Linked DNA regions of Coturnix japonica. The protein of the gene in region 7 purifies or fractionates together with the protein of the main gene of each other region. This does not show direct contact. Links are inferred from orthologs where the notes say so. Each region holds a gene or a part of one and is shown on either strand. Other genes may lie near its edges. The genes, in order: PPM1G, NAP1L1, HNRNPR, GON4L, USP48, PHF14 and histone H2A.

Region 1 (2,247 bases), on a different chromosome or scaffold from region 7:
CAGTTCCATCTCAACGCAAGTTCCCAACGTGAGATCAATGTCAACCTTTAACAACCAGCACCAAAACTGAAAACGGACCCTCCTGAGACCGATACCTCACTGCAGGAACCAGACAGACAACAACCGACCCTCAGCGGGGCTGCAGGAGCCTGCTTTGATGGTACAGGGACTAAAGCAGTTCCAGCTCTGAGCATGTCATTACTGGGCACTTAATGGAAGCACTTCGGGTAAGGGCCACTCGGGCAGGGTCTTACCTTGTCATAATGATGGGAGTACTCCGGGCTGGTGAAGGATGGGTGCGAGGTGAAGGGACACAGCAGCAAGGGACAGCAGAGTTCACTCCTATAGGAGCAGCAGCATTGACACAAGCCATACAAAGCTGCCCACAACCCAGCGACCCTCGCGGTGCTTTGAGACGCAGGGAGAGAAGTTCCCTGCCTTCCCACCTGCCTTTTCTTCCCCCCACCCCAACTACCAAGGAAAGGACCAACGACCAGAAGTACAACCGTGTTTTCCAGGCTTTTTTTAGTTTGAAAAAGGTATTGATTGAAAGTGTACAACAGCATGAGGTGTGGCGGCAGCACCACAGCCGGATTGGTTCACAAATAAAAACAGAAAAGGGCCTTAAATAATTGGGTGCAGATTTTAAAAAACCTCAACAAGTGAAAAAAGTTCTTTCCCTCCGGAACAGAAAAGTCACAGGCACAGAAATGGCAACAACCACATGGAGACAATGGGGGGGTAGGGAGGGGGGACCATCCTTCTAACCACAGGGCTCTGTGCTAAGAAGAAGCTGCCACTTGATGGTGGGCTCCCACGTCGCGGCTGGTGGCTGCTCCCGCGTGCAGCTCTGCCCTTGGCTTCACTCTTTGGAATGGTTACGGATGAACAGCGCCACATGCCCTCGCTAACCAGACCCACCCCCCACCCCCCACCCCGGACACGGACAAACAAGGCCTCTGCTAAGGCTAAAAAAAGGACAAGACTTTGTGGAGTCTTGAGTTCAGCATGTTTAAGAAACGAGAGTCTGGTGAGCGCACAGCACAGTCCCTGTGCGAGGCTTGTTATTCCAACTTGGCCTTCTTCTTATCGCTGCCGTTTTCCTCTGCTGGTGCTGCCGGTGCTGCCACGTCGTCCAGTTTCCTCTTCCCACTTTCAGCAGGTGGGTGTGTATTGCGGGGTTTAAAACTGATAATGATGCAGGTCATGTTATCGCAGCCAGTGCCGTCCCCTGAAGTGTCTGGAGCCAAACACTGATCCAGCAGCTGAGGAGGGACGGGACGGGTTAGCACATAGCAGAGGCGCGACACTTAGAATAGTCTGAGACATTGGGCCCCTTCTGATAGCAGGGTAGGTAGGGGCTGCCAGCCCAGAAGAGCATGGGCTGGGCTGGGCTCAGATGGTGTTTACAGCCAGACAAGGGACAGAACCAGCCCTCGGTATCCCTGGCTTCCTGAAAGTGGACAGAAAACTCCCTTGGCTTGACAGCAACTTAGGGGTCAAAGACATTAATTAAGGTGCCAAAGGAAGTGGACCCTAATTCAGATGTGACTCTGCTCCCATAACACAGCCAGTGTTGCAGCCCACATGCTGCCAGATAACTCAAGCTCTCAACAAACTGGCCTGATGGAGCTGGGGTGCAGAATCACTGCGTGCCAATGGGATGGTGAAGGCACTGATGGCGTGAGCTCTGGACCTTACCTCTTCTACGATAGAGGAGAGCGGCCTCAGGACTCCATTCTCATCCTTTTGGGTGATCTTGGACTGGATGAAATCCACCACCTCCTGGCTGCTCATCACATTCCTGAAGAATGGGAAGGTCAGAAGGGTTATTAGCTATGGGAGCTGTCACACCACACTGTCCCAAGAGAGAAAAATCAGGGCAGCGATGACCCAAGAGGCACAGCTCTCTCACTACCTACCAGATTCCATCACAGGCAATGACCATGAAGTCATGGTCGTCGTTTATTGTCAGTACTTTGATGTCAGGCAAGGCAGAGATCATCTGTTCTTCTGGAGGCAGATTCTTGTTCCGCTTGTAGAAGTGATCACCTGGAGAGGAGGATGGATTTACACAGCTGCTGGGCACTGGTAACACTGCCTAACCCTGAGCAACAAGGAACACTACCCAGCCTTAACAGAATTGACACTGGTGCTCCCATTGACAAAGCAGATTTGACTGTGGGGATATCAGACAGAGAAATCTGCCACACATTCAGAGCACGAGGTGAGCCCACCATGCTGATA
Region 2 (3,500 bases), on a different chromosome or scaffold from region 7:
AAAGTACTGTCTACTTAACCAAACAATTTCTTGCTCTAGAAAGATTCAGCAGTTACCAGTGTTTCAATACACTGAAGAACCAACATGCAAGAACGGTTACCACATAACCTAACATCTGCTCAGTTAATACGATGAGGCCTAATATACTAAGGTGACTTTGTTAGCCATGGAATAGACAACACTTCATCTTAGCTGATAGTCACATGGACAGCAAAATAGTGTAAATTCAGCTGAATGGGCACATTAGAGACCAAGGTAATTCAGAACACATAAATAAGCTTCAGTTTATATTCCCTTTTGGTTTAACTAAAGCTTTTAAATACAAATAAGAAAAGCATTAAAATACCTTGTCAAATAAGGGCTGATAGAGAGCAGCGTATTTTCTTTCCAGCTCATGAACTTCCTCATAGAACTTTGCTTCTATCTGTGCACACTGAACTTGAAGATTCTTGAGAGCATTCACACGTCTTTTAACAACTTTAGGCAAGCTGAAAAATACAGTGACAGAACTGTTACGAACATTGCATTCTATGCACATGTTGACCTCTCATTAACCAGCTCCTTTCACCAACACATATCAAAATGGATTTCACACTGCTTTAAACACTAGAAAACTGCAAAAAAAGTCAAAGTTACGACCCACTGTACCATGTGGAATAAACTTAACACAGACTCTTAAAACAGGTATAACCTGACTTAGAATAAAAAAAAAAGTCAAGTCTCTGAATACGCAAACTTGTGTAAAGCTTCACACTGACAGCAAGTTTTACCTTACCACCAAGCAGCATGGCAAATTGCTAACATGGAGCACAATCAAGGATGAGCTAACTACTTGTTTGTTTTTATGAACATTCAAGACAATTGAGTTATTACTTCACTAAGGAAGTCAAGCTTCACAACCATTATTTTTGTTTATTCAGGAATGAAGCTATCACTGCTGTCCCTTAACAGTCTCCCAGAATAAGCCAAAACCATATTATATACATATTACAGGCAAACAATTAGTGCAGCCTTCATTATAAGCTGTTGTGAAACTTTGATTAAAGTTGTATCTGACTTGTAGAAGACCACACTAACAAAGTTAGAGCTGGGGCAGAAATTAACCTGCACTGTTAGTGAAATTCATAGGGTAGACTGGTGACAGCCTCTATCACTGATGATGTGAGCCAGTCCCCAGCATATAGCTACAGCAGATTACCATGTTAACCTTCTTTATTTAAGGAACTGGGTCACATCATTAAGAGCACAATGGCAAACAGCTGCAAAAAAGTGAAAAACTGTTAGGACCAGCTTCAGGTTAGTGGAAGCAACCAAGAAGGTATTAACTAAATACTGCAAGTTCGTATTAATTACTAATGCCACCAGCCCCCACTTAAGTAGGATATTTGATAAGACATGTAAGAGGTCCCTGTAAAGCATGCTTAAATCAGCATGTATATGTTAAGGAATCACAGAGGAAAGTTACACATTTTCCAGCTATTATTTCTATTGTAAGTTTGGCAAGCACTTGATATTAATGGTAAAGCTGCAATGCTTTGCAAGAAAAAGAACTATAGACTTAGAATAGATGAAGAAATGATGCAGTATCTCCAAGAGCAGCTGACAGGGGAAAATGCCAAGTAAACAGAAGTAGGACTTCTGTTCACTTCTTACAGCTAGGACTTGAAAGATTAGGAGAGATGAATTAATAACTGTCAAAAAATCAACATATTAGATATAGAAAGCCTTAGTGTACAGCATATAGAACAGTGTAGAGAACCTATGTACTCCTTTGACTCCATGCTCTTCCTGGGCCTGTAGTTATTAGGGTAGGCTATTAGTTGCCTGTATTTTCTTCTATGCTACTGCCTGTAATACAGGAAAGTGGTAGGAGTAGCAGCAGCAAATCCAGTCATTCAGTAGCCATCTCAGATAACATCAATAGCAACACAGGATCCTATCACAGTCAGATAGTTCTGTGCTTTACAACTTGTGCATATGGTCAGAAGTTCACACAATTAGAAATTACACAAAGGAGATAGATAAATCTGTTATAGCAGATGCAGTAAAGAAAACTTTAGTAAGCAACAGATTGTTTCAAATTGTATAAGGAGACTACATTAAGTATTGATACAACATTCCCAATTTGTGGTTACAGTATGACCACAAGTGACCACGTACTTGCCCATGTTTCAAATTAAAGCAAAGCTGAGAAAACATTCTGGGAAAATATCTGTGCCTATGTGTTATGGTTTGAAGAGTTAACCACGTGACACCTCTCCCTCCCCTTGGGCAAAATGCAGAGGGAGGAAGAGGGGAAAAAAAATCTGATTGAGATAAGAGAAACAAATTTATTAAAAGGAGCATGAGATAATACAGAATAACTAAGAGCAGTAAATCAAACAAAAAAATAAAACTAGAGGAGAGAGAGAATCAGAGTCCTTATCAGCAGAACCTCACGGCTGTCCTCCTAGAAAAGACAAGAGAGTTCTTCCTCATCACCAAGAGTTGGAAATCATGTGGAGGCCCTTGGGAAAATGCAGTACATCTCAGTATCTTCCCCTTGGAGTGTAAAAACTCACATGAGACTGCTATAGTGAACCAGGAAATACAGCTCCGCAATGCAGTGCTGAATCTGCGCCCAGCAGCTTGCCGCATGATGTCATGATAAGGAACATACTGATAAAAGCAGGACAGAATGACATTTTGCAATTGCACGTGACATTATCTGCCACTAAATATTTCTGCATTTTTTACTTCAAAAAGGCTCAAACAGAAAGCCTTCAGTTTTGAAATGCGTCAATTCCTGATTATATTACTTTCCTGCTACCTAGGCAGAGCAGTGGTTTATGATTAATCTTAAAGACAATATTGTTCAGGAAGCAAAAGCACATTTATATCACTCTCCTCATACTGAATTAGAACAAACATTTTACCTCTCTATATATCCTGTAGATGTTCCTACCAGACCATCAAGTCTTTCCTGAAGAGCTGCAAGAATCTGAGGATTTTGCATCATCTGCACAGTCAACTGTCGAGCTAAAATTAAAATGAAAATTCTGTAAGTGCAGAGCATATCTTCTAGACAAGGCTTGAAAGAGATCTAAATACTAAGAAAAAATATGAAGTGAATTTCCTGTTATTCTAAGAAGAAACACAGGCAGAATTTTTTTTTTAAAGTGTCTCCATTTCAGATGTGCTGATCACACAGAATCACAGAGGTTGGAAAAGATCTCCAAGATCATCCAGTCCAACCATCCACCTACCACCAATACCCTCCCACTAAACCATGCCCCCTTACTACAAACAATACAAACAAAAGTTGCAATTTTCATTCCATTTTAGATAAACAAGACTGCTTCAGACCTGGGTACTGAACTGGTTTACAAGTCTATGCTTATATACTTTTGTCTTGAAAAATAATAATTGCTCATTAGAGCTACTTCCCCCCCACCCACCACCACCAAAACGAACAGCAAAGCAATCCAGTCAGCTCAGCCTGACATATTCTTGATTACAGA
Region 3 (3,500 bases), on a different chromosome or scaffold from region 7:
CCACCTTCCAGAATAAGAAATGAAAAGCATTTCAAAAACAAAGAAGATACGATCCTCTCAGTGTAGCGGTTTCACTATCAGATCATGACAGCACTGAAGATGTGTTTTGTAAAGACTGGTGACTATTAACGAATTATTTGCTGTCATTGCAATCTAAGCTGACCTCTTCAAAACTTTGCATGAAGTATCCTAATGCAATTCACTCAAGTCTTTACCTTCTTCCAATACAATGCATAGAAATATTTGTTACTGCTTACTGAATCTTCCCATTATATCCACCTGCTTTCTTCTCCTCAAACAATGATGCATTTTTCCTGCAGAATACTGAGGGCTAAGACTAAAGAAGGAAAATAGAGATGCAAGCTTTCCTCTGCAATGTTTTAAACTTTCCCTCGCAGTATAATTTATTTGCCAGTCTTTCTAACAAATGACTTTCCACAAACACACAAAATAATGGCGTTAGTCTGTGCATACTAACCTCTGTTCCAATACCAGGCTGAACACCAGAATACACAGTATCTGGAGGAGGGCCCCCATATTTTCTCTGTCCTGTAGTTACATCCAAAGTGTAACCAGTCCTCTCTAGCAAAGCCTGAAAAAAAATGGAAAAGTATTCACAATATAGTTACACACAGAGGGTGGGGGCCACAAACAACAGAATCTGTTTCTGAGGTTACTGCAACCCTTGTTTTCTGTTTGCAATATCTTATGTAGTGGCCAAGGAACTCCAGAAGTTCTCACTAGCTTTTGGTTTTGCACAACAGAAAGACCATGTCTTAACATATTCACCAACTCCAAGACTCAGTCTTGTTGGAATGCCCAATTAGTCTCAATTTTATCAGCTTGTACAAACTAGTGTAAAAAAGACAAGATAACTCTGAAACAGATTATTATTCTTTGTGAAGTTCATGCCTGTTGGTAATTGTGCAATCAGGTACATCTACATTTCAAGCAAGTATTCTCTCTTTTCAATCTTGCATACGTTCCTTTAACGTGTGGATGCTCTTATCAAAGCAATATTGATGCCTTCCAAGCATTAAGCATTACAATTCCTTCAGTCTGCATACAGGTAGTACAAAACAATCAGTGTTTTCAACACGTTACCTTGATCTTTGCTTCATCTGGTCCCTTTGTTGATTCCTGTACTTTGCTGCCTTGTTTCTCTCTTTGCCTGTAGGTCTTCATAACTCCACATAAAAATGCACTTTTGTTCTGTAGATACAATTTACAAAAGAATTAAATCGGGGGTATGAAAAGCTCTGGGAATATACCAAATCCATACCGTGAAGTCACTAGATAAGACAATGCCAGGTACCAAAAGAATCCTCTTGATAAATGCAACAATTAACTGATCAAACTAATAGGCATGGAATTTCAAGCTATATTTTTACCTTATGTTCTCAAAAGCACTCATTGTTATTATCTGGGAGCTTTAGTTTTGCACGCAAATACCCACAACATTTAGGGAAACTTTTAAACAGGCCCGTGATCTGGGTTTGAAACATACAGAACATGAAAAGAGTTTCTACGTATCAGCTCTCCTGCCAATAGCGCACACTATTACACTTATGTGCTCACACTTCTGGAGCTCTCACCTTACCTGTACATGCGACAGGTCACTTTCTTTAAACTGCTGTAATACAGAGAGGGCTCCTTCTTCATTAAATTCCCTAAGAGCATCAATTGCTCTTTCATCAAGATCGACATAAGCTACCAACCCTAAAAGTTAAAGATAAAGAAGTTACAGATTTCTATTAAATGTCATGCAAGCTAAGAACTATGCAGTTTGCTTTTAAAAGTCCATAACAGAATTATATATTTAATATAATTACATATTCCTACACAAGTATATGAAAAAATATGAGTACAACAATGAAAAAAGTTAAATTAAAATGTATATACCTAAGCATTAACTGAAGTGCGAGATTACACCCCATGTGTAACAGCTTTCTAACATTCGGAAATCCAACAGACAACTCTGGCTCTCTTCTAACAATTTGGGTTTTGTTTGACTCTTAAGATTCACACTTCATTCTCTTGAATGGAGCTGTTCTAAAGTAAGCTGACATATGAACATTACACGTAACCTAATGTATGTGAAAAGGAACTCTCTAACTGAAGATCAAACACTCACAAAGCGCTACAAAACATTCAATAGAATGGTTTGGTCACTCTTTCCTCCTTACTTCAAAGAGCAAAAATCAATAAACTGCTTATGCCTAAAAATTGATTGAATTTCACTTAGTTTGTTGCTCTGTGCAGTTCGAGAGCCAGAATTCAAAAAGCTTCTGTTTTGAGCCCTCTCAATGTACCCGAAAAGGCTAATGTTAATTTTACAGGTACAGACTCCCCCAAGAAACACTGGACCAGTTCTGAAGCACTTTTCCTGTTTCAGGATCTTTAACAGCTTTGTGGGGTTTTTTTGCTCTCCCCTTTTGCAATGCACTTGCACAAGCTGTGGAGTATGAGGACTTTGTGTTATTAACACCTGAGCTATTGAAACCACACAGGGAAAATTAGGACCAATAACTCCACATGCTTTGCAACAGCTTGATTTCCAGAATGCAGATGATTTAACTGCTACTTGCTTTCAAAAATGCAAAGTAGTGCCAAGCCCAAGGACTACATTTCAGAAGTGATCCTGCATATCGGAAGGCACCTGTATCTTTCAGATGAGACCTCAGCAGATTAAAAAACCCAAACTTCAACTTTCAATTTAGCTCTGGTCTCAGAAGCAGAATGTTTCACTGACAAACCCCTGCACAATGTGAATATCTGCGGTGGCTTTAAGGAAATGCAAATAAATGTTGTCAGGTTACTCATGCGATGGAATTATACTAGGTAGTTTGGTTCTGGGCTGAAAAGCTTTTAACTCCCTTGAGAACTCCTCACGACACAACCTAACTAGCACACAGGTTAGACCCCACAAGTTCCTCTGTCCAGGCATTTACTCCTTCTCTCAAAGCATCCAGTGTACATCAGCATGACCCACAGTTAGAAAGTGCATGGCTATGCCAATAAAAGCTTGTCAAGGCTCGATGAAAGCTCACTGTGAATGACTTTCAAAAGGCATCATTCACATGACCCAGAATGTCATAGTGATGAAGGGATAAAGTATTGGTTTTTGAACTGCCTTCGTTTCATCGGTGGAATTTTGACTCTTTTCAACAAAAAACTGTCATCGTGCCACCAAGGCATTGAAGATAAGCACATAAAGCAGTTCTACTGCTTCTTATACATTTGTTCACAGAACACGCTCTAAAGAGAAAAAAGAAGCTTCTGTCTAAGGACAAACTAATACGGGAGGATGGGATGTTCTAAAAATCAAATAGAGAAACCTTGGTCTATAAAGAAACCTTTCCTCTAGCAGTTGCAGAGACCACTTGCTACCAGCAAAATATTACTCAATTTGCTAGATAGCTTAGTCCTCATTTGGTAAAAAAGCAGTTAGGATCAAAGTGAACTTCTCAGTGGACTGACAGACATGGGTTAAACTGTCC
Region 4 (3,500 bases), on a different chromosome or scaffold from region 7:
GAAAGCCTTTCTTGAAGTGAATGCTTTGAAAACACCACATTTAAAGTATCTCAATCATCTCCATTAGGAGAAATTCCATGCTTCTTTTCATCTATGGAAAAAGGTTCGGAGATAAATGCTAATAACCCTCTGTATACAGGATGTTCACCCACCTGCAGGCAGAGGGTCCCCTTTCTTTGACACGGTTCTTGTTCTGCTCTGGACATCCTCTCCCTCATCTCTGTGCTCTAAGTTTTCTTCTGCAGGTTCTTTTGACGTTCCAGAATCCTTCCCTTCAGGCTGAGGACTCGATTCTTGCTGAACAAGGCTGGCACTCAGCTCCTGAGAATCTTTGTTTTTATAAAATTTATTTTCACACACCTGCAAATGAGCAAATAGGCATCTAAATACAGATGTAGCAGATCCAACTAAATCCAACATCTCAGCCTTTGCTTTCAAAGCATTACTTGATCTTAACTAGGGCTTCAGTTTAGCAGCATTTTTGCATCAAGGAAGCTAAATATTTTCCATTATGAATAGGCACAGTTCTCACACAATAGCTGCAGAAGCATCTTTCAGAAACACACACAAAAATGCTTATTTTATCTCAAAGAAACACCAAAACTGACGAAATTTAGTACAGCAAAGTAGGGCAATTGAAAATGAGCAGGAGATAAACCAGAGAAGGCCAGACAAAGCACACTGAAGAGGAAGGCAGGATCGGTTCTTTGCTCTCTTCCCCAACACATGATACTTCACGCATTAGACTTGAGTCTGAAAAGCTCATCACAACAGTGAGGCTCTTGGCAGAATTATCCCCTCCACCCACCACACTAAAAGCTTCACCTCACCTTACTGCTACAATGGCTGCAGTTCCTCCTTTTGCTTTTCTTCAGCTTGAGTTCACCGCTCCCTTCGTGGCAGGAACACGAGCATTCCTTCATCCCATCTCCCCACTCAGCCTCCTGCAAACAGACAGGCTGCAGCTGATCAATGTGCACTGTATACACAGACACATCTATCCTCATGGGCATGAATTTGCCTGGAGTCCAAATACAAGGACTAATGAGATGCCCCCAGGCCCACCTTGTCATTGTTCTGGCCTCCAATTTCTTTACGCTTCTTATTTTTGGGGGCTGCATGAATTTTAGGTGGTTCATCCTCTTCTTCTACATCCGGCAAAGACACCTCTTCAAAGCCATCAAACTAAAAGAAAACAAAAGAAGAACTGCTCTATCACCAAAGCTCTCCAGAAAACCAAACTTCATTTTCCCTGTGAATTTCTAAATACTGAGATCAGTTCCAGTGCTCCACCAGCCCAGTTGTGTTAGAAGAGACAAATGCTGTATAAAGATTTTAAAGCTTTGCTCCTGTCCAACAACTTTCCCACCCTGATGCCTCCATTGCTCTGGAAACACAGCCATGATTGGAGTCTTTCAGGTTCAAACATTTTTATATGTTCTTATATTTCCTGGTTCTATGAAAACATCACTGTACCTCATATTCCTTCTCTTCTGTCCAGTTGATTTCCTCAAAATCCCCCATGCGACTGGCTGAGGGCCGTAAGTGGTCAAAGAACACAGAGAACTCATCCTGCAAGTGGTCGTGTCCTTTCAGCAGTTGCCACATTTGGGTTTTCAGCTAAAAAGAGAGAAATCCAGAGAAAAATGAGCATTTCATTCCACATCATTACACTCTTTAAGAAGGATTTCTCAGGGCAGGCAGAACCATCAAGGCTTATTACAACTCCATTGTATTAGCTCAAGAGTATTTTGAGATCATTCCATACACAGCTGTCAAATTAGCAAAGAAATACCACTACAACGTGCTGCACATGGGAACTGAGAAGCAGGATATCTCATTGCTTCTCAGGGATTTAGAGGAAGGAGAAACCTGAATGCCTCCTCACCTCTGCAATCTCCTGAGGGAGGCAGTCCACAGAACTCTGCAGAACTTTGATGATCTTTTGATGGTGGGCAGGATTTTCAGCAAAGCAGATTTCCAGCTGCCTGAGGAACTTGCGGCTCTTCTCAAATGCTTGCTGCTCTTCAAACTGATTGAAAGAAAAAACAATCACCCCCCTCATGAAAAACAAACCTCAGAAGGAATTTAACAGGTGAAACTTCTGTCTCACGGGTGGGAAAAGCGGAAGGCTGACAAGGAAACCATTCCACTTGCTGTATCTGCCCATGTCTCTCTATGGTCAGGTTCTGGGACTGCAGGGGGAAGGTTGATTGATTCTCCACGGTCACACCCAGGATAAGTCTCATAACAGACACCAGACTTTTCAATTCCAACTTAATTAAGCAGAAGGTAAGCAAATGATTTACCACCTGTCTTTCCTTGCCCTGGGGAAAATTCCTCATTCTTTCACTCCCATCAGCATTCATGCTGTCTGCTTCATTCACACACACTACCTACCAGCCCACACTCCAAAGCTTGTTCTGGCAAAAGAAAGGCAGCAAAGTCTGTGAGCAACTGTGGCCAGTCATGTAACAGTTTCTGTAAGGTGAAATATAGATCCACAGCTGTTTGCTTGTCCATGCTGATCTCAAACTCGTAGATGACACGGAGGAAGTCTTCATACTTCCCAGGAATGTGCTGTAGTGCTTCACGCACCTGCAAAAAGAACAGCAGATCTTTATAGGATTGTGTGACACCCAGGAAGGAAAAAGTAAACATAGGAGTCTCTGATCTCTTGCTACTCAGCATTCTTGCAGTGCTCCCAGTATCTCTGGGATAAGAAAAATCTCTTCCTTTAAAGATAAAAGCAGACTACTCACAAGGAACAAGGGAGCCAAACCCAAAACCATGTAATTCTGAATTTAAAACTGACCCAGTGCTGTGGGTTGACCCCAGACAACAGCTGAGCATCCCCACAGACACCAAGCAGGGCAGGGGAGAGAATAGGAAGAGCAAGAAGAAGAAAACTTATGGGCCAAGACAAAGGATTTAGTAAGTAAAGGAGCACCATGTGAGGTGCTATGAAGAATGGCAGCTCCATCCAGGCCAGAAGCAACACCCACAGTTAGAAATGGCCATTATGCTGCTCAGAAATTAACTGCGTTTGAGGATTCAAAGTGTCTGTGATTCCTGTCTGGGGTTACAACTGTTCTGCCTTACCCTGGTCAGATATGCTTGTGCAAATGCCAGATCCTTCTGCTCCCTCAGGGGGTCCCTCTCCAGGATGTTTTCATCATACAAGAGGAGCAGCTTTGATGTGTCTTTACTTGCACGTGCCCGGCCCCTCTTATTTCTGGCTCTGTGAGAGCTCCTGCTTTTCCCAGGGGCTTTCATGTTCTCTCCTGTGAAGAAAAACATAGTAAGTCATACACCCATTTTTCATACGTTCTCTTGGCTGGCAGACAACTATTCCTCTATACTAACACTGCAATACAGAAGCAGCTTTTTCAGAGTTGAGGTCCTCACATAGTGATCAGTGAACTGCTTACATCCTCCTCTAAGCATATGAGCAATATACTTTCCATTAGTGTAATACTACAGTGGAATGGAAAGTACTG
Region 5 (4,213 bases), on a different chromosome or scaffold from region 7:
CAGGACCTCAGACAGCTCTCATCCCGTTGGGGTCTCAGCTCCCCCTCTTCCCCCCCTCACCCCCCCCCTTCCCATAGGAGTTCAGCAGCACAAAGCCCTTCCCTGTGCCTCTCAGCTCCAGGGAAGGACCTGGGAAATGATCTGAGAAACACGGTCCTGGCTCACTCCCAAGCATGCTCAGTGCTTGTGGAGCAGGTGCTAATGGTGCTGGTCTCATTGCTCCTCCTGCACTTGCCCCAAGGAGGGCCTGGAGCAATTCTTCTCCCTTTGTGTTTGTACAAATGAGGCTGAGCAGCAGATCCCAGCTCAGAGATTGTTCAAATAACACCTAAAAGGACAGTTTCACACTTCTTTAGAGAAAGTAATTACAGACAAGACTCAGGCCTACCTGCTGCTGGCCTGTATCCAAGCCCAGCGCTTTGACAAACCCAGAGGGATCGATGTATCGCCTTTTGCTGTTCTGCAGCAAGGCAAACAAGTACTGGAGATGCTCACAAATGGTCTGAGGCTCATAGTCTATTAAAAAAAATAGAAATTGTTCTTTGTACGGTTAACTTGTACAACTAAAAGTCACCCGTTAGTAGCGCTGTTTTAAACCATCATGAGATCTGAAGCGGTTAATGTCAGCAATGAGGGCTAACTGTCCTGGTTTCAGCTGGGACAGAGTTCATCTTCTCCACAGCGTTTGGTACAACGCTATGTTTAGGAGAAAAAATAATGCTGATAACATCCCAGTGTTTCAGTTGTTGCTGAGCAGTGCTGCACAAAGCCAAGGACATTTCAGCTTTCCAGCTGTTCCTTCTGCCCTGCTAGCAGAGGGCTGGAGGATGCAAGATGCTGGGAGGGACAGAACCAGGAGTTGAGCTAAAGCAGCCAAACGGATATTCCATGACAAATGGCATCATGTGCAACTAGAAAACTGAGGCTGGAGTGGAAGCCACTACTCTGGGCACCAATCAGCAGGTGACAAGCAGCTGCCTCGTGCACCACTTGTTTTATAAATACTCAGTAAAATATCATTACAGTCATTTCCTCCTTCCTTTTCTGCCTTAGTAAAGAGTTCTTATCTCTACCCATGAGCTCTACTTCTTTCTCTCATCTCACTGGGAGAAGGAGCAGTGAGCAAAGCAATCAGAGCTGAGCTGCTGCTGGGTGCCCACACAGCACCAAGCACGGGCCAAACATCTCGCAGCACCCAACACAAGCTGTCAGAAAACAGCTTGAGCCAAACAACAAGATGCTGTTCGCTACACACCTCAAAAACAGGGTGGCTCAGAGCACAACTCCAGCACAGCACCATGAAGAAGGTGCAGCACCACAGCCCCTCACACCCAGCACCTAAGTCCTCACCATCTGTGGCACCAAGCGCAGCTTTCTGACTAGAAACCCAAGGAGTTTTCAACCACATCAGATCACAGCAATTTGAGAAATGATAAAGGATGCCTTAGCTTGATTTGCTCCTAAAAACTGAGTGAAGGACTTGAAGAGCCTCACAGAGACGGAACCACCAGCTGCAGCATCAGCCACTGATTCACACCATAAATGTACTCTCAAAGTCTACGCCGCCAGGTTTTAGAAGAAAACAAGGAAGACCATTTCATTCACACCAAAAAGAGAACGCTGTGGTAAGTTCCCACTGACCTTTGTCTTTGGGGATGCTCTCCCCAGCTGTGTGCTCACTGCTCGAACATAAGTAGAGGGCTTGCCGCAGCTCTAGATTAAGAAACCACATCTGCAAGAAAGTGTTCACGTAGCACGTGGCGCCGAGGTTCGTTAAGCCCACAAATGCGTTCTGGTATGACAAAGAAAGCAACAGTTATCAGCTGCCACTGCCAAGAAGCAAGTAGAAATGCAGCAGTTGGGGTGGGAGCAGCCGAGTCACGGTGCATCCCAGTAACAGCTGGGACAGGCACAACACAGAGGTGTCCCCCCCGCCTCATCCTGGGGCAGGGTGCAGGCTGTACCTTCTTGCGTCGCTCACAGTTGGGATCATCAATGTTGTGGAAGCTGTTCTCGTCGATCTCGCCCAGCCAGACGTGCTCCCCGATGCCCACCAGGCAGTTGGGGTTCCCCCGGCAGTTCCTCCTGCAGGAACAGCACCAAGACCATCCGTCAACCACCAAAGGGACAGAGCCCCTCGGGTGGGAGATGGGGGGACGGGGAGAGAAGGTGACTGTGGGGACAACAAGGGGGACTCACAGGGCCCCACACCTCCCCACAACACAGGGCTGGGAGAGAACTGGGAAAGCCACAAGCAGAGGATGGAAAGGGAACCCCGGGGGTGTGCTGAGAGAATAAAAGGGGGGAGAGGGAGGGACGCGGGCCCCCAGCTCCCCAGAGCCGCGTATCCGGAGACAGACAGGGGAGGGACCCCCCCATCTCCGGGGTAACGTGAGAGAGCGCCCGGGGAGCGGGGGGGACAACGGAGGGACCGGGAGAAGAGCCGCGGTGCTGCAGGGCCTGGAGCGGGGGAGGGGAGAGGAAGGGAAGGGAAGGGAGGGCCGCTCCGCACAGCAGCCGAGGGAGGAGCAGCGCGGGGAGCGGGAACAAGGGCGGGGGAAGGAAGCGAGGCCCAGGGCCGGGAGCTCGGAGCGGGCCCGTCCGTACCGGCAGGTGCCGCGCTGGCAGGGCTCCAGCCCGACGCGGTAGGCCGCCTCGATGTGCTCCTGCGTCACCGCCTCGGGCGGCACCGTCTCGGTCCAGCGCCAGGCCGCCTTCTCCAACTGCAGCCGCGGCGCCATCGCGGCCCCCGCTCCGCCCGGCCCCTCCCGCCGCCGTCACGGCCCGTGACGCCACACGCGCGACGCGGTAACGCCCGACGTGGCGCGAGCTGCTGACGTCGCATCCCGCGCGACGCGGTGGGCGAGGCCTGCTTCCGGCAGGGCCTACTTCCGGTGGAGCCTGCTTCCGGCAGGGCCTACTTCCGGCCGCCATTAAGCCGCCCTGTAGCCGTACGGCGCCGCTCGTGTCGGGCCGGTTTGATCACCGCGGCCGTCAGCTCCGCCCCGCCCCGCCCCAGGCACCGCCCCCATGGCCCTACAGCCCCTTCCATCCCTACTCCGACCCTACGCCCAACTTCCTCCGCTCTGGATCCCTTACACCTTCCATGTCTGTGTCCCGGCTCCCCGGGACCCCTCCGGTCCCTCCCGTGCTCTTAGGCCTGTCCCGTGTCCCCGTAGCCGCCCGCCCGATCCCCCCACACCACACCCGAATCCACACATCCCCCCACCATAAGCAGCTGTTCCCGGCTCTGACACATTTTGGACCCCACACCCGCACCTCCCTGTGTCCCCTCACCACCCCACGCTTCCATCCCCCGCTCCAAACAGCAGCTTTCCCACCCCCACAACAGCCCCCAGTGCGGCCTGGAGCCCCGTGCCCCATTTCAATGACAGACCCACACCCGACCCCCGCGCTGGTTCTCTCTCCTTTAATAGTTGTCCCAGCACAGGGGGGTTGGGGGATCCCGCCGTCCCCGCCAACTCCCACGATTGTCCCTTGCGCCCCCCACCCAGGTACCACCCCAGGAGGCACCTGAGCGGCCCGGCCGCCCCAGCGTGGCTCGGGTCGGGAGTGGGGAGGGGGGGTGTAAACATTGTTGTGGGGTCCCGGCCCCCCCGGAGCCATCCCAGGGCAGCGAAGCACCTTTTTCTCGTGGCTTTTTGGAAAAATAATAATAAACCCGACAAAATTAATCCCCCCGAGCTGTGGGAGGGTAGGAGGGGGGCTACGAGGGGCAGGGGGCAACGGCAGAGCCGCCCACCACGCCGTGCCGCAGGTCAGTGGGGTGCCGGGGGGTCCCCGCGGGCGCCAGCACCAGGCCCCGCACACATCCCGACACGCCGGTGAGGAACTTGCCGGCTGTGAGGCTGCGGGGGTCTGGGGCACCGCCTGCAGAACGGGGGGCATGTGAGTGTGGGAACAGGAGGACGCAGCACCCCACAGTCCTCATGCAGGTCTGCTGCTCACGTCCTGCCCCATGTCACATCCCAGCACCATATGTCCCCTTCCCATGTCCACTCTCTTGTCCTGTCCCACATCCCATACCATGTCCCATATCATGCCTCTTATGTCCTCTCCCATATCCCACCCCACGCCATGTCTCACGTCCCATTCCATGCCACATCACGTACAGTCTTGCATTCGTGTCCTGTCCCACTGCCCCCAGTGCCTCATCATGTCCCACCCCACAACCACATCCCCTTGTGTCCCA
Region 6 (3,500 bases), on a different chromosome or scaffold from region 7:
GTATTGGTTGTGCAAAATCATTGTGAGTCCAACAGGGTTCATACTTGCTCTATTTTTAGACCTTTGGTTAGAACTCTTCATTTGTTATGTGGTGCTGCTAGTGCTAGTAAGTTCTCTGCATTTTCCTTTCTTCCTGCTCTTTCCTTCAAATCAAGACTCCATGAGTATGGAATTTTTTCTGAAATAAAAAAAAATGAGAACTATTGGTGATCAGTGGATGGGTGGACTGGATGATCCTGTAGGTCTTTTCCAGCCTTGATCATTCTGTGATTCTTTGATAATTGAGTGGCTCCTATGCATTTTTAGAACTGCAGAGGTTTCTTAATACATACCAGAAATGTTCGACCCGGGAGTTGACACAAAGTGTATATAAAGTCATATCTTGCACTTGAATACACATGCACATATACACAAAATGAAAACTTACTTCCATGGGAGTTTTAAAGCTTAAGTAAGGTTTCCAGATATTGATAAATGAGTATGTAGTTGTAGAAATAAAATGTGTGTTGCTGTGAAAGTGTATTTTTGAGACACATTTCAAAAGGAGAAAAAGGTGGTGCTTGGTGCTTTCTAACCCTGACAGGAGTAGCTGAGCTAGCAGTTTGGCAAGTCCTGTGTCCCAGAATAAGAAAAATCTGTAGAAAGAATCTAAGTTATATAACCGTCTGGCACTACTATTGATTACTGGAAAACAGTATATGTTGAAATACTTCCTTTATATGAATAAAGGAAATGTACATTACTTGAGTAAAGTAATTCGAATTTACTTAAATCCATTCTTACAGTTGAGAATTTCATTTAAACTAGTCAGTCTGATCTGTCAGCTTTTTCTGGAATTGGGCTCTGAGAATACAGTTGTATGACATTAAATGACCTCAAGATTTTCAAACTGAGTACATCATCAAGTAAAGAAGAATCAAGAACAAGGAAGATATAAACCATCCTTGTTCATTCTGGCGATGAATAAAGCAAGTTGATGATTGCAGGTGGATCTCTTGCTTGCTGTTTATGTTCAAGATAAAAGCCCTTGGGCTTAAAACTGTTCCACAAGGCATATTTCTTTTGTTTCTTGGTCATTAATGTTTGTGACCTAGTAAGGTAATGTATTAAACTGCATCTTTAACAGTAGTTTCAGCAATGCTGTTTGGAATCAAAGATGTTCCTTATGCGTGGTGTATATTTATAAATGCAAACTTTTTTGCTTTTGTCTCAGGAGTATTTCGTACCATATGGTAGGGTAGTCAGATTGGGTTAGCTGTTTCTTTATGTTGGCAAATGAGCAACTTCTAAGTCATAGTCAGCTGAAGTTTTGCCTCAGAAGGCTTGTATATTGATGTCATTTTCTGCCAGACTTACTGCTGCATAGAGTTCCCACAAGACAATTTTTTCCAACTGTCAGCAACAACTTGATTGATCTGGGTCTGATCTCCCAGATGGTCACAAATATACAGATGTCATCAACAACAAGTATTGTGAGCTTCTGCTGATTTCAGTTCCCTTTGGGCTAAGATTTTGGCAGATTAAAATAAACTAGTTTAACATTGTGAAGTGAGAGGGCATTGAAAAAGGTGTTCATACAAAAGAATGTCATATATGGCAAAAATACTGTTCACCAAATTTTACTGCTCACATAAACTTCAGAATCATAGAGTTTGGAAGGGGCCTCTGGAGATTATCAAGTCTAACTAACCTGCTAAGGCAGGTTCCATACAGTAGGTTGCACAGGAATGCATCTGGGTGGTTTTTGAATGCTTTAAGACATGGAGAGTCCACAGTCTCTCTGGGCAACTTGTTCTATTGCTCCATCACTCTAAAAGTACATAAGTTCTTTCTCATGTTCATATGGAACTTCCTGTGTTCCAGTTTGTGCCCATTGCCTCTTGTTCTGTTCCTGGGCACTGCTGAAAAGAGGCTGGCTCCATCCTCTTGGCACCCATCCTGTAGATATTTGTAAGTATTGATAAGATACATATCATTTTAAGATACTTATCCAGACTGAACAGCAGGACGTCTCTCAGCCTTTCCTCAGAAGGGAGATGCTCCATGCCCCTAATCATCCTTCTCATCCTCTGTTGAGCTCTCTAGAAGTTTACTGTCTTTCTTGAACTGAAGATCCCAGAAATGTACACAAGTCTTCATATGTGGTTTCACTACAGCAGAGTAGAGGGGAAAGATCAGCTTCCATGACATGTTGGCCATGCTTAATGTATTTTTGGTAGGTCAGCAAAGATTTTTCCCAATGAAATTTCATGGTTCCATCATATTATCATTTTTGGGAAGGACTGTCTGAAAGCCAGCAATAATTGACGTTAATAGAGTAGCCTCATCAAGGAATCTGTGAAATCCTCTGAAACCTATTGGAAGGGTAATGCTATTGAAGTATGCTTTTTGATTTTACTTCACATGTCTGTTAGTGTATTTCTTGAATCAAATTGTTGTAATTAAAAAAGTATTTGTTAGATTCTTCAACTTTTAAACTGAAAATAAGACACAGACTCTTTCAGAAATGTTGATTTTGAATCGTTCCCTTATGTTCTTAATTCATGGAAGTTTTTGTTGTAGGCTCGAATCAATGCCAGACTACAGCAGTATCGTGCCAAGGCAGAGCTGGCTCGTACCACCAGGCCACAGGCCTGGGTTCCCAGGGAGAAGCTACCACGGCCACTCACTAGCAGTGCTTCAGCCATTCGCAAGCTTATGCGCAAAGCTGAATTAATGGGAATTAGTACAGACATTTTTCCAGTTGATACTTCAGATACTAGTTCCAGTGTTGATGGAAGAAGAAAGCATAAACAACCAGCCCTCACTGCTGATTTTGTCAATTACTACCTTGGTAAGGATTGAAAGTACATATTCTTCTCAGAGAAAAATAATTGTTTTGATGTATTTGTACTTTCTTTTCTTGTATTTCTTTGTTAATAGGCAAATAGGAATTATTATTATTATTTTTTATTTTTTCATTTTTGGTCAGAAACCTTATTGCCCAATATACAGAATGTTGATGACTTTTCTTTTTTAAGAATTTTGGGAAAAGAAAACCATCTTTCAAATACAAACAGGCAGTAGTATCTTTTCTAAGAAGGGATTGGAAGTTTAGGTGCCTTTAGTATCTCTTTTATGTTTTCCTTACATGTGGAATGGCATGTTTTTGACATTGACTGCACAGAAGATTAGCTGATCAGAGATAACCCTTTAAGTAACTGTACTAGGTTATTGTATGCAGCAAGAAGTCAGTGTTAAGATGTTCATTCTGCTGAGGCTGTGTAATAAACCTATAATTGTATGCTTTAAAAAAAACCCAAAAAACAAAACAATGGTTTTATGCTTTTCGTTGCCTCACTTTTTTTCAGTGTGTAGAACTTGAAAATATAGCCAAGGCTAGAAAATAATGAATTTTTCTTTTAAATAGAGAGAAATATGCGCATGATTCAAATCCAGGAGAATATGGCTGAGCAGAGGAATATCAAGGACAAATTAGAAAACGAGCAAGAAAAGCTTCA
Region 7 (2,822 bases):
GCGTTTTTAACACTTGCACCAGCCTTGTCTGACATTTGGGCATAAAATACTTGAAGTACTAAATTGGAGTTTTGCTTTTCTAAGTTTACCTGAGTTGTAAAATCTCTGTGAAACGCGTTTAAAGGGTTTTGTTGCGAGGAGAGATGTAGTAGCAATTGTTCTCCAATTGCATTTAGTAACAAAGCACCAAATACAGGTTATAGTCAGACTAAACAGGGGCAGTGCTGGAGTGCTGCACTGTGCTGACAGCACAGAAGTGTTTTCTGCTAAACTAGTGAAATTGTGGATATTTGGCCCTGGTATCTTCAGGAATGCTGAAGGAGATCAGCATTAGGTTCCCAGTGCAACTACATAGATGTAGAATGAGGACAGGCATTGATATACAGTAACTGGCAATCTTTGTGCTGAAGCATAAGAAATTTGCCTCTAGTTCATGGTTGAACCATCGTGTTGCACTGCCATGTTGCAGTGCCTTACAGAAACATCAGAATAACCCATTGTTGGGTTCCGGTTTTGGAGCTGAAGCATCGTTTATTTCCTGTGCAATGTCTGCTGAATGCAGCAGTCACGTTGTGAGCACCAGGTGTCTTTAGGAAGAGCATCACGTATCTGCATTATGTGACTGCACTGCAGTATCACGCCGTGCCTCCCGCCCGCTCCCATCGCAGCTCCCCCTCGTTCCCGCAGCCCCCGGCCGTCCCTTCCCTCGGATCGCAGCTCTCCCGGTGAGCAATGGAGCGGCCCTGAAAAGGGCCTTTGTGTGCTGGTGGGGGAAGGGGAGCCCGGCCCGGCGGCCTAGTATTCCTGCGACTGCTGCCCGCCGCCCTTCTTGCCGGCCTTGGCCGGGCTGGCGGCGCCTCCCGCCTTCTTGGGCAGCAGCACGGCCTGGATGTTGGGCAGGACGCCGCCCTGCGCGATGGTGACGCCGCCCAGCAGCTTGTTGAGCTCCTCGTCGTTGCGCACCGCCAGCTGCAGGTGGCGCGGGATGATGCGCGTCTTCTTGTTGTCGCGGGCCGCGTTGCCCGCCAGCTCCAGGATCTCGGCCGTCAGGTACTCCAGCACGGCCGCCAGGTACACCGGGGCGCCGGCGCCGACCCGCTCCGCGTAATGGCCGCGCCGCAGCAGCCGGTGGACGCGCCCGACGGGGAACTGCAGCCCGGCCCGGGAGGAACGGGACTTGGCCTTCGCTCGGGCCTTACCGCCACTCTTACCGCGGCCAGACATGGCGCCTCGCAGGGACCGGACACACAACGCGGATCTGCGGAGCTCTGCGGCGGGACAAGGGGAACGCGCCTCCGCCCCGGCGCTTTATAACCTCCCTCAAGGCAGGGCCGCGCTGATTGGACGGCGCCACAGCGCCTCGCTATTGGAGCTCTGCCGCCTGAACCTCTTTGCTGACTGGCTGGCTTGGCGCTCACCTCCCACCTATTGGCGGCGGCGACGGACCAATCAGAAGACAAGGCGCCAAATTCGTACCACGCGGCGGACGTTGGCGCTCACGGCCGGGTACGGTGAGGGGGCGGGGCCACGTGAGCGGGGGGCGGGGCGAAGCGCCGGCAGGGGGCGGGGCCATGTCACAGCGCACGTCAATGTCCGCAAGGCAGAACCGAAGATGGCAATGTACCTCGAGTTCTTTTATTCTCAGAACGCCCTGAGTACAGGTACGATTACAGCACGTCATTCTGCATCCATGGACTCATTCATGAGCCAACAGGGCAATTCCAGCTCACTTGTTCTGCCGTACAGCCTCACAGACGCTGCAGTTCTTATTTCTTCTCTCAAGGAACAGCAACATGTTTCTTACATTTAGACGTTCCATTTCTCCTGCTTTCCCTAAGGACTCTGTACAGATTCGTGTTGCTTATTTCCCATCTGAAAGGTGTTCCCGGTAGCAAGGACATGCAAGCAGTGCTGACTGTCAGCAGAACAGGACAGAGACGCTTTGTCCATAAGAAGAGAACTGTGATTCTAGGCCGGCCTGGAGCAGTTCCTCGTGTTTTGAAAGGTGGCTTCAAGTTTTCAGATCAAAATATCAGATGAATTGAATTGTTTTAGTACAGTTCACTGGAAGGTGCCGCTCCTGGAAGCTCAGTCAGACATCATAAAATAAGCGCACCAGCTGGTACCGCACTGAAAATGCAATCATGCTGCCCAGGACCTAGGATTAAAAACAGACAAATAAATCACAGTAATAACCAACCTGAATCTGAAACCTTACATCAGACAGTTCACTGGTCAGCAGGTTCTTCCTTTACAGATGGATTTGATGTGCTTTAATACACGGCCTGTTCACTATGTAGCACTGTGACCTGACTCAAGACCAAGCTGTATGCGCTTCCTATTCCCTTCTGCCAAAGATGTACTTGGCCCGAGCCCCGCTCTCTCTGTTGGAAGTCTTCTGTTGGAAGGGGAATTTAAGTGCTTTTTCCTAAGGAGAAACTCTTACCTTTGAACTGACACTGAAGAAGGAATTGTAGGCAATTAAGCTACGTCTTTTCTGAAACAAAACATCTACCAGGTAAGAGTTCACGCATTGAGTAGGAGTAGCAGCACTATCTGCAAGGTATGTTCTTGCATTCTGAGTTGCTTCAAAATGTTCCCACACCACACTCAAACTCCAGCTACCACTGAGTTGCATGCCACACTTACGTAAGGGCACCAGCTGGAGATAACACCGGTACTACTGTTATTTGGTATGACTGAAACACAGAACTGCAATAAAAGGCTGTGCTGTGTTAGAGTGACAAGGCAAGAACACAGTGCTGTTTTTCCAGCTGTTCTTCTAGCATCCAGGCACTCATGCTCTGAGGAGTTTCTCAAGC

Evidence for each region.
Region 1: the proteins of histone H2A (region 7) and PPM1G purify together in Homo sapiens (affinity purification with mass spectrometry; 4 studies listed by BioGRID and IntAct, counting the BioPlex papers as one, with this or other methods). This does not show direct contact. The link is inferred for Coturnix japonica from reciprocal best matches to the Homo sapiens genes H2AX and PPM1G.
Region 2: the proteins of histone H2A (region 7) and NAP1L1 purify together in Homo sapiens (affinity purification with mass spectrometry; 3 studies listed by BioGRID and IntAct, counting the BioPlex papers as one, with this or other methods). This does not show direct contact. The link is inferred for Coturnix japonica from reciprocal best matches to the Homo sapiens genes H2AX and NAP1L1.
Region 3: the proteins of histone H2A (region 7) and HNRNPR purify together in Homo sapiens (affinity purification with mass spectrometry; 3 studies listed by BioGRID and IntAct, with this or other methods). This does not show direct contact. The link is inferred for Coturnix japonica from reciprocal best matches to the Homo sapiens genes H2AX and HNRNPR.
Region 4: the proteins of histone H2A (region 7) and GON4L purify together in Homo sapiens (affinity purification with mass spectrometry; 3 studies listed by BioGRID and IntAct, counting the BioPlex papers as one, with this or other methods). This does not show direct contact. The link is inferred for Coturnix japonica from reciprocal best matches to the Homo sapiens genes H2AX and GON4L.
Region 5: the proteins of histone H2A (region 7) and USP48 purify together in Homo sapiens (affinity purification with mass spectrometry; 3 studies listed by BioGRID). This does not show direct contact. The link is inferred for Coturnix japonica from reciprocal best matches to the Homo sapiens genes H2AX and USP48.
Region 6: the proteins of histone H2A (region 7) and PHF14 purify together in Homo sapiens (affinity purification with mass spectrometry; 3 studies listed by BioGRID and IntAct, counting the BioPlex papers as one, with this or other methods). This does not show direct contact. The link is inferred for Coturnix japonica from reciprocal best matches to the Homo sapiens genes H2AX and PHF14.

The regions. Positions count from the first base shown.
Region 1 is NC_029518.1:95,322,792-95,325,038, reverse strand, and holds the end of PPM1G (protein phosphatase 1G), read right to left. Parts: intron 2,053-2,247; coding exon 1,923-2,052; intron 1,805-1,922; coding exon 1,702-1,804; intron 1,266-1,701; coding exon 1,065-1,265; 3' UTR 501-1,064; downstream 1-500.
Region 2 is NC_029516.1:34,434,298-34,437,797, forward strand, and holds part of NAP1L1 (nucleosome assembly protein 1-like 1), read right to left. Parts: intron 3,019-3,500; coding exon 2,916-3,018; intron 489-2,915; coding exon 347-488; intron 1-346. UniProt on the Homo sapiens protein: Histone chaperone that plays a role in the nuclear import of H2A-H2B and nucleosome assembly.
Region 3 is NC_029538.1:1,436,150-1,439,649, reverse strand, and holds part of HNRNPR (heterogeneous nuclear ribonucleoprotein R), read right to left. Parts: intron 1,720-3,500; coding exon 1,601-1,719; intron 1,213-1,600; coding exon 1,105-1,212; intron 593-1,104; coding exon 479-592; intron 1-478. UniProt on the Homo sapiens protein: Component of ribonucleosomes, which are complexes of at least 20 other different heterogeneous nuclear ribonucleoproteins (hnRNP). hnRNP play an important role in processing of precursor mRNA in the nucleus.
Region 4 is NC_029540.1:1,770,208-1,773,707, forward strand, and holds part of GON4L (GON-4-like protein), read right to left. Parts: intron 3,285-3,500; coding exon 3,103-3,284; intron 2,599-3,102; coding exon 2,401-2,598; intron 2,033-2,400; coding exon 1,889-2,032; intron 1,621-1,888; coding exon 1,477-1,620; intron 1,186-1,476; coding exon 1,066-1,185; intron 945-1,065; coding exon 831-944; intron 361-830; coding exon 153-360; intron 1-152. UniProt on the Homo sapiens protein: Has transcriptional repressor activity, probably as part of a complex with YY1, SIN3A and HDAC1. Required for B cell lymphopoiesis.
Region 5 is NC_029536.1:5,714,890-5,719,102, reverse strand, and holds the start of USP48 (ubiquitin carboxyl-terminal hydrolase 48), read right to left. Parts: upstream 2,801-4,213; 5' UTR 2,742-2,800; coding exon 2,608-2,741; intron 2,086-2,607; coding exon 1,965-2,085; intron 1,793-1,964; coding exon 1,642-1,792; intron 517-1,641; coding exon 389-516; intron 1-388.
Region 6 is NC_029517.1:23,815,324-23,818,823, forward strand, and holds part of PHF14 (PHD finger protein 14), read left to right. Parts: intron 1-2,562; coding exon 2,563-2,833; intron 2,834-3,409; coding exon 3,410-3,500. UniProt on the Homo sapiens protein: Histone-binding protein. Binds preferentially to unmodified histone H3 but can also bind to a lesser extent to histone H3 trimethylated at 'Lys-9' (H3K9me3) as well as to histone H3 monomethylated at 'Lys-27' (H3K27ac) and trimethylated at 'Lys-27' (H3K27me3).
Region 7 is NC_029539.1:24,431-27,252, reverse strand, and holds histone H2A, read right to left. Parts: upstream 1,507-2,822; 5' UTR 1,225-1,506; coding exon 796-1,224; 3' UTR 501-795; downstream 1-500. Other genes in the region: DPAGT1 (UDP-N-acetylglucosamine--dolichyl-phosphate N-acetylglucosaminephosphotransferase), read right to left, coding at 2,093-2,158. UniProt on the Homo sapiens protein: Variant histone H2A which replaces conventional H2A in a subset of nucleosomes. Nucleosomes wrap and compact DNA into chromatin, limiting DNA accessibility to the cellular machineries which require DNA as a template.